Linked DNA regions of Saccharomyces cerevisiae S288C. The gene in region 3 interacts genetically with the main gene of each other region. Each region holds a gene or a part of one and is shown on either strand. Other genes may lie near its edges.

Region 1 (4,918 bases), on a different chromosome or scaffold from region 3:
CATCACAAATTTTCTAATGGATTGCTAGGTTCTTTGAGAACACCCAGCAAAGACATTAATATCCAAGTCGATGCAGATTACAAAATAACATCTCCCCATATACAATTTTCGAGGGGACAAAGATCATTCAAAATTCTCCAAATAACTGATTTTCATTTCAAATGTACGGATAATAGCATGACCGTAATCAATGAAATAAAAACAGTAAATTTTATTGATAGGGTACTCGCATCAGAAAACCCTGATTTAGTTGTGATCACAGGTGATTTGTTAGACTCACATAATACTATCGACTATCAAACGTGCATTATGAAAGTTGTCCAACCAATGATTTCTAATAAAATACCCTACGCAATTTCATTGGGTGTTTCTGACGAATCCAATTTGGCCACATCGGCACAAATTAGAGACTTTATCAGGAATTTACCTTACACATTTAACAACGTTGCATCAGAAGAGGGTCATATGGCCATAGAAGTCTCATTTAAAAAGAAGCTCACGAAGAATACTCTTTTGGAAAGAGACATTGATACCGAAGACGAAACAAACCCATCAGAGGCTTTATTTTTCGTCTTTGATTCATTTGCGCCCGTCAATAATTTCCTACAAGATTATAACGACCTGATTGGGAAAATAGACTTTGGCTTGGCATTTCAATATTTTCCATTATCGGAATATAGGCCTCATGGTTTATTTCCTATTATTGGGCAGTATAATGAGAGGTCTACCTTAACAGTAGATACGCCAAGGTCTAGAGGACAAGTTTCAATGACGATCAATGGCAAACATTACAAAAGCTTCCTTGATATCCTGAGTCTTTGGAATATAAAGGGTGTCAGTTGCGGACATGAACATAATAATGACTGTTGCTTACAGTCAAAAAATGAGATGTGGTTATGTTACGGTGGGTCCGCTGGTATAGGCTTGCCGAGAATCCAAGGTATATATCCAACCGTTAGATTATTTAACTTGGATGATATTTTGGACGAAATAACTTCGTGGAAGAGGAATAGCAATCTTGTTGACGAGGTTTACGATTATCAGTACATCTATAAGGGGAAGCAATAATTTCAATGATTAATTTTGTAAGGTGAACATTGACTGCCAGCAGGATAGATGATAGATAGACATAAACAAAATATACATAACACACGGTGGTGTTTTCTTTTTACACATAATATATTTAATTCTTTTTCTTTTTTTTTTTTTTTGGTTTACAAGTCCACTGAGGGACATTTTGAGTTATCACTTATGGTCTCCTGTAGCATTATTAAAAGAATAAATATCGAAAAGTATACATACTTAATAAAAACTTCAGGCTATTAAATAAACATCAGAACACATTGAGGACAAAGCCATAGAAGTTTGGAGTAGATACGGAATTTTTATTGTATGTATATATTATATATCTAAGCATTTTGCTTTTTTTTACTTCATAATCTTTCAGAAATCATTATATTAAACGGATAGTCATTTGTTTTCAAGGCGTGAAAAAACCTGAGAGGGAAAAGAATAGGACTTTTATAATCTCTTGATGACTGCTTCAGTGAATGATGAAGTAGTAGCAGTACCAGCCAAGTCACCTGTTCTGTTTTCTGGACCTGATGCGATAGTAGACAATACTGCATTTTGAATTTGGTCAGCATGATTCGTTAGACCCATGTGGTTTAACATCATTACTGAAGATAAAAGTAGGGCAGTTGGATTCGCTTTATCTTGACCGGCAATATCAGGGGCAGAGCCATGGACAGCTTCAAAGATCGAGATTTTATGACCAATATTGGCAGATGGAGTTAAACCTAAAGAACCGGCGCTCAAACCAGAGTTCAAGTCGGACAAGATATCACCGTATAGATTTGGACAAACAGAAACAGCGTCTGTGTAAGCAGATGGGTTGGTGACCACCTTTAACACACTGTTATCAATAAGTTCAGTTTCTAAAGTAAGGTCAGGATACTCTTTGGATAGTTCTTTGGCAACATTAACGAATAAACCATCAGCTAATCTCTGGATAGTAGATTTATGTACCACAATAACTCTTGGTCTGCCGATGGCTCTTGCATATTCAAAAGCGTATCTAATGACTCGCTCAGAGGCATCTCTTGTGATCAGTTTAATAGATTGAACAACGCCAGGGCAAACTATGTGTTCGATACCAGAATATTCACCTTCGGTATTCTCTCTGATAAGAACTAAATCAACGTTTTCGTAAGTGGTCTTAAAACCTTCAATAGACTTTGCGGGACGAACGTTGGCAAATAACCCAAATGTTTTTCTCAATGTCAAATTCAAAGATCTGTGACCTTTACCAATAGGTGTAGCTAGTGGACCTTTTAGTGCAACCAGGTTTTTTGTGATAGATTGTACGGCAGGGTCAGGAATGGTCGTTAATCCGTTGACAAAGATAGGGCTAACATCACAAGATTCCCATTCTATGGGGACGTTTGCTGCACTAAAGATTTTCTTTACAGACTTGGAAATTTCAGGTCCGATACCATCACCTTCAATGAACGAGACCGTGTATTTGCCGGTAGAAGGGTTAGGTTTGCCGGTATATCTTCCGATTGAAGGTTGCTTTACAGTAGCCAAAAACCTCCTCGAGGTGTTTCTAAAAAAAGTATTTCTCAACATTATTAAAAAATATTATAATTGTTGTTCGTTCCCGATCTGTATCTTATTATCTACCAAGGTAATTCAGGTTCAGAAAAAGTGTATCCAATAATGTCATGCACTTGGAATATATATTTATATAAATATGAATAATAAATGAAAAAGAAATAAGAAAAGAGGAAAACTTTAGAAGGAGGGTTTTTCTGATATGACTATGATGAGAAACTAAAACCTTAGGGCCTATAATAAGGGACCTATGAGCTTTTCAATAACTTATATATTCTTTAACCAAACAATGGAAGTTACAGAAAATAGGAACTGACCAACCAGAGCGGCCCGTGTCATGCCCCCCCTTGCCGAGATGCGGACCGAGATTGCTGAAAGAAGCGCCGAGTATCGCAAAAGGCCCCTGGCGGGGCAACGACAATTTCTTCGCCGAACCTCGGAATCGACTAGCAGATCACAGTGCTTAGGAAGCTAAGGCTGCGTTCTAGAAGGGCTAGTGAGTCTTCTCAACCATGACTGTCGTTGTTTGTGTTTGGTTTTATGTTCACCTCTAGGAACTCTTTCTGTAGGGTCTTTGATGCCAGTATTGCTGCTGTTTCCAACGTTCCCAAGTAATTTACTAAGTCTGGGAGAAAGGGACTCTGCACTCAATGTTCTACCTTTAAAGGATCTCGGTACAGAAAGCCCATTGTTATCAAAATCTATTGGGCTAGGAAACAGTGCATGATGATGATGATGATGATGATGTATGGTAAAATTGTTGGAGTCAGAAAGTGCACGTGACCTTGGAAGCATATGGTCATCTATTGAAGGGTGCACAAAATCTTCTTCATCGGAGTCAATAGCCATTTCAGGAACGGTAATGTTGTTAAACTTTGCTACTGTTCCTGCATGCGGCATGGTGTCCTTATTCGCTTTTTCCGTATTCGGTATTATATCTGAAGCGTGTAGTATGAGGAATTCGATGACAGTTCTGGAAGCCTCATACTCTTTCGGGCACATTTCATCCTTGGGATGAGACAAAAGTGAGGGTTGTACGATGGCCGCTAAATTGCTTGCTGACATTAAATTCTTCTTTTCATTTCTTGCAAATAAATTCAAGAGCGCGGCTAAATAAAGTATTAAATGGCGATTTTGTTGTGGTAAGAGCATATAAATATCTTCGTAGTCCTTAATGATTTGTTCTTTGTGCTCATTTATTTTTGGGTTTTCTAATATTGGATTTCTAAAAATGTCGTATAATGCTAGGGGAACCAAAGGCTCACTTAATGAGTTCAAATATCTTTTTAATAAAGTTGCAATGTCATGAACATTGAAATCACACCATCCTTCAAATTTACGACCATAATCGGGCGGTTTAGAGAAAACAGCTTGTAGCTCTCTAACACGTTTATTGCTTCCCGCAATACGGAAAATTCCTGTTGTGTCTAATGCATTCTCTTTTAGGTATTTCCCACTTTTTGCTATTACCACCGGTATGGAACCAATTTCATTTGTACTTTTTTGGATAATTACTTCCTCTTGAGCAACTTTCAGTGATTCCTCGAGTGAGACGCCAAATACTTTACCATCAAATTCGTTTTGCAAATTAGTAAAGGTGTCCCTATCCTTCTTGCCCTCAACAGAAGACATTGAAGATGACCTATTCTGTGGAGAACCCTCTTCAGAAGAAGGTGTAGAAAGTAGATTCATGTTAAACATTCTATTTTATGTTGTGTAATAAGATATGTCCAGAAATATACTATGGTTATTTATGTACTCTTTCCTGTGTACGCGTTTCGATTATTTTGCAGGTTATATTATATACTGCTATCACATGCTAAAACAAGAGTATCTAACAATGGGAACACAAAGCAAGTATTGATTTACTCATTCCAGTTGTGTAATTTTCTTCTAAAGATGTACTTAAATAAGAAGAAAACAATGATTGTCTTCGACCTCAACGCCTCGAACCAACGCTTTCCCCAATAGCGAGAGAAAGTAAGTAACCGGAAAATTAATTACCTCTTTCTTTCACCTGCAGGGGCTGAGGTGCTTCTGTTAGTGCGCCTCTAGAAGTATCGGCCATAATGAGATATATACTTTGGTTGCCCCTCCGGTTTTGAGGGAGTTTTAGCCCGATGAGGCTGGTCCTCCCCTCCAAGGATTTTTTGTATTTCCTATTTCGCTCTAATTATAGAAGCACCAACATACGGCGGGGTATAAACCAAACAATAGCCGCGGAAGCCCAATCTTCTTCTCCTTTTTTCGTAAACGGATAAAAAGCTATGACCAAGAGCCAGGTAAGTTATACGTAATACTA
Region 2 (4,180 bases), on a different chromosome or scaffold from region 3:
AAATAATGTTCGAATTACATTCCAAAAGTTTTCAAAGAGTGGAGTACTTTAACAAATATAAGGAAAAGCTTTTAAAGAACGGTGGCCAACTAGCATATTTTGATAAAAAGTCAAAAGAAATGTACGCCAAACGGTTGACACTATTCAGAAAAATGAGCAAAGAAACATTACCATATGTGACACTCTTTATAGAAGGGAGGGACTTGCCAAGTGTTTTGGCGAAATACGGTTTTTAAGTGCAAAAGTTGCGTGAATCAGAAAGTTTAATAGAAAATTTACTGGTTACTTCCATTTCTATGTAAATAGTCACTCGTATGACCGCGATAAGGATCCTGATGAAGACGATTTAATTATACTTCCTATTCTATACAGGTTTCCTCATCAGTAGTCAACTGTCCAAAGTACACATCCAATGGTAAAGGCTCATTCTTGTAGGTATCATCAAACTCAAGATCCTTGAAACTCGTTATCAGCGATTTGACGGTATCTATAGGTACCTCACTTCCAACTAATTCTTCTAAAAGGCTTACCGAGTACATATCATCAAACTCTAGATTAATGTAACTAGTTAAATGCACGCCTCGCCTTTCATGCAGAGGCGTTTGTGATAACTGTCTCATTAAATACAACGAACATTTACTGTGATAATTATTACAATACATTGAGTGGATAAAGAAGCCATCAGATGAATTTTCTGCCGCACTCTTATAGCATAGCGGGTACCCACATATTTTCTTTCCCCTTCTTGCATTAATAACATCCATATAAGACATCGGTGAAAGTAGCCGTGCTAAGTATTTTAATGTCTGCTCATTTTCGCAAAATGATTCTGTGAGCATTGAAACTATGGCAGATTCAATCATTCGGGCTTCCACTATAGATAATTGCTCATGTAATTGGTGTGATCCTAAAATTACTTTTTGAATGAACGTAGTGGTTATTATCTGCATTATGGCTTGCGTTGCTCCTGTCCTTCTAGTATAAAAATAAACCTATCACTTTTCTTAAATATGCTGCAATTTTTCCAGAATGCCTCCTTGCTGTTGATAAATGGCTTCCAATCTTCGCCAATACTAGAATGTGACCGGCTCGTCTCTTTTGTAAAGTCGATGTAATTTTCGTTGGACTTTTCAATGGCATTTGATATTGAAAAAAATGATTATCAATGCTGGAGGGCCCGGCTAAGACTTAACCCTGAAGCTTCTGTCTTTACAAAATATTATATGAATTTATCCCTGAATTTTACATACTATGAAATTTTAGTTTTGGCAAAGAATTTGACACGCTACTTACTCTTGCAACTTTTTCAGACGCATTAGCATCATCAACACGCAACTCATCTTTTGATTCTGTGGCTGTCCTTGCAATATATCGCACGGTAATCCAGGGAACTTTATCCTTTATATCCAGATCGTCAACTTCGATTTCAGAGTTAAAGTTTTCAATGAAATTTCTTTCATGAATATTGATGCTGGAATTATACACCAAAAACTCATTTAGTATGGATACCGTACTCCAATATGAAAACTTTCTCATACATGCTACTACGAGAGATATTATCAATTCACCATTCGTACAGTGCATATAACAGGGGTAATGCCCTTTATCAATCAGAAATTTAACGCATCGTACTACAACATCGTATTCAATAGGAACTGTTTTCTTTTTCCTTTTAATCTTGGGTTTGGTCTTGTCTGCCTTTCTTTCACTTTGACATTTTATATGAATTGTCTTAATGTTATTTTCTTCACAAAACTTTACCATTAGAGGATCAGTGCTCAAAGGTTCTGGTGTCAAAGATAATATGTATTTCAATCTAAGGGTTCTCAGGAATGGGAGATTGATTTCTCGTGGGTAAGATCCTCTATATAAATTTGGCTGTACAGTCGAAAATTGTAACGGAGTCACTAGTGTCATTTTGATACATATAGCTTATTCTAGATGTGTGAACTGGGTATTCATAGCAATTGTGAACCCATAGTTTATATTGGTACTCCTTTCCTTCTTAACAGAGTCTCTTTTTTTCTTTCGCATTTTTTTTGGCCTTACATCAAATAGCGGTGATTAATGATAAAAAGCACTTAGCAGAAGTCATGCAACAAAAAAAGAACACAACATAAGGGTACAGCTAGTGAGCTCCATTGCTTCGACGTTTTAGGATAAAATGGAATTCTTTTATGAAGAACAAGTAGCTTGTATCGAAGATGATAAAATAAGCAACTCTCATACCAAGGAAACTGGATCAACAGAAAACACTGAAAATAACGAACTTCAGAGCCGAGATGACAAAACAAATGAGGCCTTCCAAAAGTTAGAAGAGGAAGTCAATAAACGATATGAAAAGACTACAAGTGCATTCAAAAAGTTAGTAATCGAGAAAGATGACGGAATTGAAATTAACTTGCCAATTAGCAATGAAACTACAGAGACTGCACAAAAGTATTTGAAGAAACTAGACGAGAATATTCACAGCGTGGAAAGTCTAGCCCAGTCATATTGGAGCAAAATGAAAACTAAGAATTTTTGGTCTGGCTTCAGTAGCTTCGATAATGCTGCAGAAAATGACTCTAATGACAAGGATGAGAATTCGAAAGAAAATGAAATTGCTGTGGGTGGAAATAGAACAGAAGCCGAACTAAGGACATTATCTAAAGATAAATCGGTTTATTTAGACAATAAAATGGATTTGCAACTGGACCCGTTTGACGTGGATGAAAAAACTGAGGAGATATGTTCTATTTTACAGGGCGACAAAGATATCTCCAAATTAATGAACGACATCGTACCCCATAAAATCAGCTATAAAGATTTCTGGCACATCTATTTCTTACAAAGAAACAAAATTCTAGATAAAGAAAGTAAAAGGAAAGAAATATTGTCCAAAAAGGAAAAGGAAACGGAGGAAAAAGAAGTTGAGTGGGATGACGAAGAAGAAGAAGAAGATGATGACAAAGTAGAAGCAGTAGCTGACAACAAATCTAAAGGGGAGACGAAAGTTGCTGTGTCTCAAGAGGGATTGAAAGATGTTAGTGACCATGTTGGCCTCGCCAACAAGGATGAGAGCAAGGACGACGACGACGATGATGACTGGGAATGAGTGATTTTTTTCATATAAAAGATATATGTAATGCTATAAATATTTACATACTTTTCATGACGTATTATGGTAGAAAGGAAAATCATCAATCCAAGAGATGCACAGGAGGAAGACAAAATCTGGGCGTGATCTCATCTTTACACCTTCTAAAAAAAAGTTCGTTTGTTACCGTTAAAATAAATCATTTGTATTTAGGGTTTTTTACTTTGACCTTAGATGGAAATAATGATATGCCATGTTGAACGGGAAAAAAAGTGTATAGACAACGGTTTTCAGTTATTTATTCAAATGAATCAAACACCGTAGACGCGGTGATAAAACAAAACGTATGCATTAGAGTTAATTGCATCGGCTTTGTTTTTGACAGGTTTATATTTGGTATCATCAAAATATAGCCATCCCTTCTTTAATCCCTTTTTCACATAGGCTGTATAATGACCACCATACAAAGTACCAAAGTGGCATGCTACACCATATAATTCATACTTAAAAGGTGGTATTTGTCCCCTTATTGGTAGTTCATCGTCATTAACACCTGGAGGAAAAACCCCGTCAAAATCATTGGCCCAAAATGGAGTCAAGTCCAACAAAAAAGGGTATATGACGAAGTCATTATTTTTGTTTAATAAATTATCAAATCTCTTTAAATGGACTATCAGATTCCTCGGTAATCTCGTTATTGTCAATTGTTTCGTGGAGGGCTGCCTTTTTTCACAATGTGGGCACAACCATTGCTCATCCACTTCCAAGTTCTCACATTTGGTGAACTCTCTGAAACAATCTTCAATGGTAATATTATTTCGGGAATTTTTTTTAGGAATAGGGATTGACAGCACCGTAAAAGGTTGGTATGTTGTCGAGGTATGACTACAGACTTTACATTTTAGTCGTGAGGCGTATTGTCCCTGAAATAAGTCGACAATAACACTGAAATCAGTAGTCAAGAATCGTTCCCACTCAATTGACGAGGCAATTCGCAAAGACAGTTTTTCTCTTCTCGCCTCAGCTTCTTGAGAAAGCTCCTTCAAAGGTGGGTTTGAACCGCATTGGTTCAAGTCTTCATGAAGACCATCTAGAAGGAAT
Region 3 (5,850 bases):
TGTTGTTACTGTTGTTGTTACTAGACGCGCCTGTACCCGTGACAGAAGGGTTTGTCTGTTTTTGAGTTAAATGACTTAAAAAGGAGTTGTAAAACTCGGAAAATTGTTGTTGATTGATCGTCGGATAGTTTTGGCCCGATCCGGTTTGTTGCATGTAACCGAAATCCTGAGGTAGCGCGTTAACATTAACATTGTTGTTTGAATTTGAGTTCGAATTAGCATACTGTTGTTGTTGTTGTTGCTGTTGTTGTTGTTGCGACTGCGAAGTAGGTTGCGTCAAAGATTGTGGAGGTAGTGGATAATAAACATTTTGCTGTTGTTGTTGAGGCGACTGCTGGAAGTGACCTTGATAAGGCGCTTGTTGTTGTTGCTGTTGTTGCTGCTGCTGCTGCTGTTGTTGTTGTTGAGGCTGGGCTTGAAACTGGTTCAAGTATTGGTGAGGTGTCTGGTGAGAAGCATCTCTGTACTGGGAGTCGTTGTGTTCGAGACCCTGATACTGCAGCGAATGGTCTTGGCCTATGTTGAGTAAGTTGGAGTTAGAGGCGTCGTCCTGTTTGGGCGAGATACCGGTGTTCATTGCAGTTGTGGGTACTGTTAGCGTCGTACGTATATCACAGAATGGATAGAAGAAGGGGATATAGTTGTGGTCTTGCCTTGACTTGCGTTGCCTTGCCTTGTCTGTGTGTAATAGAGTTCTTTGTGGGATATCAGAGCGAATAAACTTCAGCGTCACAGTCTCGGTAGCAGTAGCTGTTAGGCAGTGACCTAGCAGTAGAGGAAACAGAATACAATGCAGTACGATTACGGTACAGAGGATAACGAAGTAAACCACATTTACAGCGAGAACGAGAGACAGAAGGAGAGAGAGAACGAATGCGCCGGGCCGTGTCTATACTTGGCTCCACCAGCTGATGTGTGCATTTTTTTTTTGTTCCCATTCGTTCTCTCACCAAGGGGAGGTGGAAAAGAAAAGAAGAAAAAGAAAGTAAGGAAGGTCCGCTGCGCCTCTCCTTTGCTGCTGTTGCATCCGGACATCACACCCAACACAAAACCCCGCGCGGCCGTCGTCAGTAACCGTTCCACCCATTCCTCCACGGTATGTAGATCGCTAAGCACGATGTGTATGTTTTATGGATATGTGCCGATTTTTTCCGCATTTGGTATCATATTTTGTTTTGATAATTACCGTTCTTGTTATTGCTAGTTGCTTGGGTTAATGTTCTTGTGCTATTGTTGCTGTTGTTATTGTTTTTATTATTGTATTATTGTATTATTATTATATTATTATTATTATTATTATTATTATTATTATTACGGTATGTCAAGTATTATTTTTTTTTTAAAAATAAAGAAAAAAATTGTACAAATATATATATTTATATATTACTCTATATGGTTTTTTTTTTTTAAGTGCAGGCGTTGGTTATGCTTCGTCTACAATTGGTTGGTGTGCACCGATGGGTCATGTTGGACCTTGATCATAGGTCTGTACACAGGCTCCCACATTTGGGCTTTGACCCACTGTAAACATTCGTCAAAGTCACGAGGAACCTTGACAGTTTCGCCGGGAGCTCCTCCCGGTACTTGTTCTTGCTCGATACGGGCGGTTCCCTCCTCGAGTGCTTGCAAGATCACAGCGGTAGCTAGACGCGCAGAAGTGTTGGTGATGGTGTCCAGGCCGGGTAGCAACCCAGGTCTCGAGTCGCCCTCTCTTAGTGGCGACAATTCGGCTAGTTGGTCCACTGCAGCGGAGATCATCTTGTCTGTGATGGTGGTGGCACGCGATAGTACGGCACCTAAACCGATACCTGGGAAAGAGTAACAATTGTTGTTCTCCGAGATACGGTAACCATCAACAGGTGGGAAAGGAGATCCGGTAGCTACAAGAGCGTTGTTGTTGGTCCACTTCATTAAATCGGCAGGAACGGCTTCGTGTAGTCTAGTAGGGTTGGATAATGGGAAAATGATCGGTCTAGGATTGTGCTTGTGCATTTCTTCTACGACATCTTGAGTGAATGCGCCTGCTTGTGTGGAGCAGCCAACCAAACACGTTGGTTTGACGTTCTCCACCACATCATGTAAAGAGCGGGTGTTGATACCAGCCCATTCCGCATCACTCTTAGCGTATACGTGTTGGGCGGGAGTGGAGTTAGCCTCGTAAGATTGTAGAATTAACCCACGTCTGTCCATCAAGAAGATTTTCTTGCGCGCTTCTTCCTTGTCAACGCCGTGCGTGACCATATGATTCACAATTTGATCTGCGATACCGAGGCCCGCAGACCCGGCACCGTAAATAAGCACTCTGGTGTCTTTCAAGTCTCTGTTGGTATGTTTCAAAGCAGCAATCAACGAGGCCATCACGACGGCACCGGTGCCCTGAATGTCATCGTTGAATGATGGCAATTCGTACCTGTACTTTTCTAGTAATCTTCTAGCGTTCTTAACACCGAAATCTTCGAAATGCAGAACGGCGCTTGGATACACTTTCTTAACGGCCTTGATGAATTTTTCCAAGAAGTCGTCATATTGCTTACCCCTGATTCTGGAGAACTTGTTACCCATGTACAATTCGTCACGGGCTAGTTTCTTGTTGTTAGTACCGACGTCCAAACACACAGGTAGCACACGGCCGGGATGAATACCACCGCACAGCGTCATCAATGCCAATTTGGAGATAGCAATACGTACACCACCGATACCTTGGTCACCAATTCCCAGAATACCTTCCGAATCCGACACAACGATGTAGTCTACATCTTTGTCTCCACCGTATGTAGCCAATCTACATTCGATGGAATCAGGTTCGGTAATGTCTAAAAACACACCTTCTGGCTTTCTGAACCTGTGGGAATAGGCAGCAATAGCATCACCTTCGGTTGGGGTGTAAATGATAGGAACTAATTCCTTGATATGTCTCCTTATTAATGCAAAATATAGGACTTTGTTCTGTACTCTCAAAGACGTCATGAAGTCGTTTTTGGCCAAGGGCGTCTTCAAATAGCATAACTGCTTGTAGCTTCTTTCCAGTTGTTCGTCCAAAGTGTTCACTTGTGGTGGTAGCAATGCTTCTAAATTAAACGCTTCCCTTTCTTCTTGTGTAAATGCAGAACCCTTGTTAAATAAAGGAGAGTTTAAAAGTTGAAAGCTCTCCAAGGGACATTCTATGGCACCTTCTACAGTCAAACGAGTGGCATGTGGGTGAGGAGCTTCGAAGATCTTTCTGGCGCGAGAACCGACGGGTGTTTTAGTGACCTCCTCGTCGCTGTATGGCTTTTGGAAAGTATTTTCTCTTGTTGTGGTAGCTTTATGCGATCTAGTGTTAGAAGAATATAAACGCGATTGCTGAATAGGCCATCTTCTTAATGGTGCTGTCCTTGATGCTGTCAAGGATCTGGTTAGTTGCGATCTAGCAGCAACGGAAACGGATAGTCTGGTTCTAAGCATAACCGTATTTCTACCTTTTGTCTTGGTATTTATGTGCACTAAACTCGTTAAAAGTTGTAGGTTTCAAAAGCACAAATATCCGAAGCTGGACACAATATACGAGTAAGTATAAAGATACGCATATATATATATATATAATATGTCAATCATGCCGGTAACGGGTACGACTTCGAAACTCTATAGCGCTAAAGCTGTAGACCAAAGGAAGTCAAATGGAGCATACGCGGTACAGTAATAGGAAATTGCGAAAATTTTTCACCATAGAAAGGCGATGATGAGTCGAAGCCAAGGGGACTCAGTCACTCAGTCAGCTGATGCGATGCGATGTTAGCGCAAACAATAACGCGTACGATAATAAAACTTCAAATGCGCCAATTCTTTTTTTTTTTTTTTTTTTTTTTTGATTTCTTTTCATATATCCGATTTAAACCGCCTAGGGAAGAGTAAAAACCCGAATTGTTCCGTCTATACTTGGTTGTATGGGTGTTTTTTCTTCGATGCTTTTCGTATAAGAAGATATGCAGTGAATATCTTTCAATCGCCTTGAACGGTTGACAAGACGCAAGAATTTGAAAAACCTTGCAATGCACGATGCAATATTCAATTTGCACACATCGAAACGAATTGGTATCGAAAATAAACGCGAAACATATGAGAAATTTTTCTAACTTTTCTTCCTTCGTTAAGAGTGATCCTTGCACTGTGATGAATCGCTATAATTGTTGTAATGATTGACACTGGGTGAAGGGCAAAGGATGTCCAAATGATAAAAAAACAAAAAAATTTGGAAGTGTAAATTGTACCATGGGCGAATTTCAGGTTACTATTGTAGTCTGGTGAGTTAATACGTAATAATACTTGGTTTTTTTTTTTGGTTTTTTACTAAGCGTTACCGTGTGTAGTGATTATCTAAGCGGTTCTTGCAAGATTAGGAAAAAAGCTAATTAAGTGTAAACTTGGCAGCATGATTGCTCGTCCTAATCGAGCCAAAGATAGAAAACTACTGGAAGCAGCTGCTGCAGTGAGTAGAGTATGGATAGACCTATAGATGATATTGTGAAAAATCTTTTAAAGTTCGTCGTTAGGGGGTTTTATGGTGGCTCCTTTGTACTGGTACTCGATGCTATACTATTTCACTCGGTCCTAGCTGAAGATGACTTGAAACAATTGTTGAGCATAAATAAGACGGAACTGGGGCCGCTAATTGCTAGACTAAGATCAGACAGGTTAATATCCATACACAAACAAAGAGAATACCCTCCAAACTCAAAAAGTGTGGAAAGAGTTTACTACTATGTAAAATATCCTCATGCTATTGACGCAATCAAATGGAAGGTCCATCAAGTCGTACAAAGATTGAAGGATGACTTGGACAAAAATTCAGAACCTAATGGTTACATGTGTCCGATTTGTTTGACCAAGTACACACAATTGGAAGCTGTACAATTATTGAATTTTGATAGGACAGAATTTTTATGTTCCCTATGTGATGAACCGTTGGTGGAAGATGATTCTGGTAAAAAAAACAAAGAGAAGCAAGATAAATTAAATAGGTTAATGGACCAAATTCAGCCAATCATTGATTCTTTGAAAAAGATTGATGATTCAAGAATTGAGGAGAATACTTTCGAAATTGCATTGGCTCGCTTGATACCACCTCAAAATCAATCACATGCAGCATACACGTACAATCCAAAGAAAGGCAGCACCATGTTCAGACCGGGAGATTCTGCTCCATTGCCAAATCTTATGGGTACTGCTCTTGGTAACGACAGTAGTAGACGTGCCGGTGCTAACTCTCAAGCCACATTACACATCAACATTACCACGGCAAGTGATGAAGTGGCTCAAAGGGAATTGCAAGAGAGACAGGCTGAAGAGAAAAGAAAACAAAACGCTGTCCCTGAATGGCATAAACAGAGTACCATCGGTAAAACTGCTCTTGGTAGACTGGATAATGAAGAGGAGTTCGATCCTGTAGTTACTGCATCTGCCATGGATTCTATAAATCCTGATAATGAACCTGCACAGGAAACATCCTATCAAAATAACAGAACTCTGACCGAGCAAGAAATGGAAGAAAGAGAGAATGAAAAGACGTTGAATGATTACTACGCTGCTTTGGCTAAAAAGCAAGCAAAGCTCAATAAAGAAGAAGAGGAGGAGGAAGAAGAAGAAGAGGATGAGGAAGAAGAAGAGGAAGAAGAGATGGAAGATGTTATGGATGATAACGATGAAACTGCTAGAGAAAATGCATTGGAAGATGAATTTGAAGACGTAACGGATACAGCTGGCACCGCAAAGACAGAATCAAACACCTCCAACGACGTAAAACAAGAATCGATTAATGATAAGACTGAAGACGCTGTAAATGCTACTGCCACTGCTTCAGGTCCGAGTGCAAAC
Region 4 (4,996 bases), on a different chromosome or scaffold from region 3:
ACTTATCCAAAACCTGTTGTTGCTTTTTGGTTTTCTTGCACTTCAATACAATTGAAGTAAGGCTCACTTGAATATTATGTGTTTGATAAATGAGATGCATCTTTTCACATGGTCCACTGTTTTTCAGTAGAAGCTATTAAATTCGGCAAAATTTACTGTCGTTGATGGCCTAATTAGGAAGGTGTTCATAAAAAAAAGGAATACAGATGTTCTATTGAAGGACTAATTAGGAAAGTTAATTGGATTTTGTTAAATAATTGCACAAATAGTTGTTGGATATTGCATCAGAATTATGCAGATTACCAAAGAGAACGGGATGTCTATTTAGCGCATTTATTCCTAATTCGGAAATTATTGAAATCCACACTACTTAATAGTGCTGCACCATTTATCTCATAATTATTGCCTACGCTAATGAAAGCAAATCTTATTCCGACTTCAAATTGGATCTCTCCTCAAGAAAAGAAGCTCAATGACCTATTAGAGTATGAATACTTGTAAAACAAATGAACAGCGAGTGCTTGTTTAACTTTTTTTTTTTTTTTTTTTTGATTTTAGGAATTGATACGAAACATAGTCTCTCTCCATTTTCTCCCACAACAGGACTGCAGTAAGGATGTTATTATTAATAATATATATATTATATAATTATATCTTCTTGTTAAGCATGTCTTCCCTATATGTCACAGTTTTCTTAAAGCAATAGAATAAAAGACACAATACCAAAAATTTCATGTCGAGTATGTCAGTTGAGATTTCTCTAGACAAAATGCAAGAAAAAATAAAGATCTCTACTTGTCAAATACCTTTAAATCTTATCAATAGAATTCTTAGAGAATCTCATTGAATCTTTGCATTCAGAGCGTTTAATCATTATCAGTCTGTCTCTTGGTCAGCCTAAAGCTAGAATTGAATCCTAAAAGTTCATTGATTCCTCTAATCCAGTCATTCTCGGTCTTGGCGACACAATAAATCCCTGACCTTTTAGGCTTTTTTGAATTATTAAAGTCATTTTCAGTTTTTCTTGTCGTCGGAAGCTGAGTACCATCTATGTATATAGTGCCGACCTCATTTATAACATAAATTTCATCACCAACATCTAAATCCTGTTGAGGAATACCATCAACAGAAAGTTTTACCACACTGTTGACTGGTTTTTGGTTCAATTTGGAACCTATCTTTATCCTAATGTGGGATGAATGAGGCAAAATCAGTGGTCGGAATGACAAAGAGCGAGGACAAATTGGTGTCATTAAAATAGCAGGGACTAATGGGGAAACAATAGATCCACCTGCTGATAATGAATATGCTGTGGAACCCGTTGGAGTGGCCAATGCAACACCATCTGCTGTCGTTCTTGTCAAAAATTCCCCATCAATGAAAATGTCCAGGTTAGTGAGATGAGGGGAATTACCCCTATGTAAGAATATGTCATTCATAGCATGGGTCACAATAGATGAGTTGCTATCCTTTTTTTTCAAATGACATTCTAGCCGTGTTCTATGCAAACATTTGGCTCTAGAGCTGATTACTTCCTGAAAGACCTTTTTATGCTCCTTAAAATCAAACGGTGATAGAAAGCCCAGAGTGCCCAGAGCAAATGCTAAAACCGGAGGAACTTGCGTATTTCCGAACATTGATACGCCGTGTAAAATAGTCCCATCACCTCCCAATGTCACCAATAAGTCTGTTCTGTTTACGATATCTTGTTCAGGACCAGTATAAAGTATATGAGGTCGGTTGGGATCATTCTCCAAAGGAGATTTGAAATCCTGGGAAATTTCTTCTGCCACATCGGGTTGAACAATGACGTTCACCTCGGGGTATGACTCATGTAAATGAGTTATGAATTCAACCATCGCTTCTCTTGTGGATGGAGTCCATGGTTTTTTAGTTATATAAACATTTTGTAAAGGGTTCTGCCAGATTAAAGATTGTAATTTGGAATTTGGTGGGGACACGAAATCTGCTGATGAACTACTCCTCAAGTTATTTACTGGCTTTATTTTTACAAACTTCGAGCCGCTCTGTAACTTTAGGGAATGTGAATCCAACGTACTATAGAACCTATACCATTTTACTGGTTTATTCAATTTAACCCTGACAAACATTTTAATCAGTATCCTTAACCTTTTTATCCTTTTATTTATGAAACAGCGAATAATGAATACTTAGTCTTCTCCTGCCTTTTTTTATTTTTATTTTTTTTTCAATTTGGAGATTTCGGAAAATTGTGAAAATGTGTGAAAAGCACAAAGAAGAGTTGAGAACTGTGGAAGTTTCTTAAAAGTCGCAACTTAGTGATGCATATAGATACATGCAGCATTTCTGACAGTTACAGTTTTCAATAGCCATTGTGTGATTTAAATAGTGCATTGTTCTTTGTAACAATCTTGCAGTTAGTTTTACTTCGGTGAACTTAAATTTAAATTACTTGTAACGCATATATAGTACTTTGGTTAAAATTGTGTATTCCACATATTTACATTCTCGATTAAAAGGATTGACTTTCATAGCTTATCTAATAACTAGATCAACATTTCAAGTTGATGCCATGTCTTTTTTCTTCTTCTCTAATCTCAAACATTACCTGAACAGCAATAAATAGGCTTACCATTACCGCAGTCAAAAACTCCGGACTATGTGAATTGTTAAATATGCCCTTCAATAGAAGCTTCGTTCCCTCTGCACCCAAGCAAAATCCATAGACATTAATAATCATCATCATGCAAATATTTATTGCAGCACCGATACCGCAAACAAACCTGTACCAGCTTCTGAATCTATATCTACTAAAACAGTTAGTAATGTAGGTTTCGCCTAATAATAAAAGGACTGTTAACCACCCCCAAAACAACACTCGTAATTGGATGTCATGCCATATTGCTACAAATGAGAATACGGCAAAGCTCGTTAATATTTTGTTATTGGACCCGCCAAATGGAACATAGATGTAACGGATTACCCACTTGTTAAAACTTGTATGCCAGGCTCTCCAGAATCCCACTGTACTATAATTATTATCCACACATCGTAGCATATTTTCAGGTGCATCAATACCATCGACCATGGCCCACAGCCGAAAGAGCCTCCATGGGATCAAAAGTTTTAAATACATAATGTTCAAGTTGAACAGCGCGATCATAGCCTGTTGCAAGGGTGTATCATTGTTCCATGCCTTGGTCCTTGCTATTGCACCCACATAGATATAATGTAGGATAATTTCCATCAAAAGCAAACTCGAAAATACTTTGAGGGCATAGAAGCCTATGTTTTTTTTCGTTAGCGAAGGAAGCTTATTTTCTGATTGATAAAGGTAGTCATTAAAAGTGATAATTGGGCCCACTAAAAACAATGGCGCGTAAGTAATATAAGCGATAAAATTGATAAAGTTGTAATCCTGGATGTGATGTTCTGCTACCAGTCGTTCCTTTTCCTCCAGAACATTCTTACCTGACTCATAAATGGTTTGTAGAGTAGAACCAGATAAACTTTTTCTGAATTCAGGTCGTCTATCATCGTAATCTATCGAAGGTTGGCGGCTCAATTGTTCATGCCATCTTTCCAAAAAATCCATGGAGTAACTTAACAAACGCAATAATGTAAAATTGAAAAAAAAATCCCATCGAGGAACGATACCCTTATACCATTGATCCATGGGACTTAGGATGATAGCAATATTATTAAAGGGGAGATTTTTCATTTTTTGATTGATGAATAGTGTAAAGATACCATAGGACCAAATCGCAAAAGCGGCTATCAAACGCTTTCTCTTTAGCGAATGTGCCAAAGTGAAGAAAATAAAAGCATGCGTAAAGAGCTTAACAGAATTGATCCCGTACATGAAACAGACAAAAACTAATCCACACGCAAAATCGAATTTTGTTTTCGGAATTTTACTAAATTTAACAAAAACCTTTTTTAATATAATTTGTAGTAATATTAAGATGGCCAACAAAAAAAAATTGGATCTAAAAAACCTATACTGAGGATCGCTGTTATCCACTTTGCGGCCCAGAATCCAACCATGGGCTAGCAGTCCGCTGAATTTATAGTAGTTTGGATTAGACTCGGAGCTCGTAGCCAATGCCGCCTTTATCATGAAAGGAACTACTACGGTGAACGCCAAATAATATAGTCTAAATTCCCATGTATTCCATAGCGGAGGAGATGGGCTATTAGAGCTGAGCACAGGGTTACGGGTAACAGTAACGGCACTAGAAGATGAACCATTCTCTTCTTTAGATGAATTGATAAATATCCTTTGTCGCCTTTTGAATTCAATGTCTGGCTTTATTCGTGAATCAAGTGCCTGCACGGAAAAGAAATGTACGATGCAACTCCAGATTCTTAACATCGACATCTGACTTGTAGCGATGACGTCAATTATTTTTGAGCCCTATAATAAGGTAGTTGAGAAGACAAATTTGAAGCACCCAAAAACCCTCAAAACAGTACCTACCTCAAAGCTAGCTTCTCTTTCTTCTTCTATTTGACTTCATTTTTTCCATATTCACCATTGGTACCTTCCATAAACAACTATAACGCAGTACAAATGAAAAAAGAAGAAAAAAAAAAGAAAAAAAAAGAGACCTAAACGCGCCAAGATTACAGGTAAACGAGTAGAACTTTGATCTATGTGCCTGAAAACCCCTCGGGCACAGGGTTCATAACGAAAAAAAAAAAATCGTAAGTAATGGTAACCATAGTAACCGATGCATGGGTTTTAAAAGTCACGTGCTTAAGTCCATTAAGACCGGAAACCTCTACACCAGTTCTCCTTCTGCAAGGGTTTTCTTTTTTTATTTTTTTTGATGGGATGGCTCTCTTTCCCCGTGTTTGTACTTTTGATATATATAGGATATTCATCAAAACAGCGTTTCGAACTCAGCGCTTGCACGATAACATAAGCACCTCGAGACACATTAGGAAAATTTAACATCCTATTTATTTATTGAATTTACAGGCACGGAAGGCCAATTAGTTTAATTCAGAC

Evidence for each region.
Region 1: mutations in MAE1 (region 3) and IDH2 together harm fitness more than expected from each alone (negative genetic interaction), as found in Saccharomyces cerevisiae (3 studies listed by BioGRID).
Region 2: mutations in MAE1 (region 3) and OCA6 together harm fitness more than expected from each alone (negative genetic interaction), as found in Saccharomyces cerevisiae (2 studies listed by BioGRID).
Region 4: mutations in MAE1 (region 3) and POS5 impair growth when combined (synthetic growth defect), as found in Saccharomyces cerevisiae (2 studies listed by BioGRID, with this or other methods).

The regions. Positions count from the first base shown.
Region 1 is NC_001147.6:577,963-582,880, reverse strand, and holds IDH2 (isocitrate dehydrogenase (NAD(+)) IDH2), read right to left. Parts: upstream 2,632-4,918; coding exon 1,522-2,631; downstream 1-1,521. Other genes in the region: SIA1 (Sia1p), read left to right, coding at 1-1,068; GTPase-activating protein BAG7, read right to left, coding at 3,088-4,317. UniProt on the Saccharomyces cerevisiae protein: Performs an essential role in the oxidative function of the citric acid cycle. Also binds RNA; specifically to the 5'-untranslated leaders of mitochondrial mRNAs.
Region 2 is NC_001136.10:581,549-585,728, forward strand, and holds OCA6 (protein-tyrosine-phosphatase), read right to left. Parts: upstream 1,918-4,180; coding exon 1,243-1,917; downstream 1-1,242. Other genes in the region: RRG1 (Rrg1p), read left to right, coding at 1-236; RTR2 (putative protein-serine/threonine phosphatase), read right to left, coding at 360-950; DOS2 (Dos2p), read left to right, coding at 2,165-3,097; ubiquitin-specific protease DOA4, read right to left, coding at 3,391-4,180.
Region 3 is NC_001143.9:381,282-387,131, forward strand, and holds MAE1 (malate dehydrogenase (oxaloacetate-decarboxylating)), read right to left. Parts: upstream 3,445-5,850; coding exon 1,435-3,444; downstream 1-1,434. Other genes in the region: DNA-binding transcription repressor IXR1, read right to left, coding at 1-577; transcription factor TFIIE subunit TFA1, read left to right, coding at 4,477-5,850. UniProt on the Saccharomyces cerevisiae protein: NAD-dependent mitochondrial malic enzyme that catalyzes the oxidative decarboxylation of malate to pyruvate.
Region 4 is NC_001148.4:188,521-193,516, reverse strand, and holds POS5 (NADH kinase), read right to left. Parts: upstream 2,112-4,996; coding exon 867-2,111; downstream 1-866. Other genes in the region: GUP2 (putative O-acyltransferase), read right to left, coding at 2,534-4,363. UniProt on the Saccharomyces cerevisiae protein: Phosphorylates both NADH and NAD(+), with a twofold preference for NADH. Anti-oxidant factor and key source of the cellular reductant NADPH.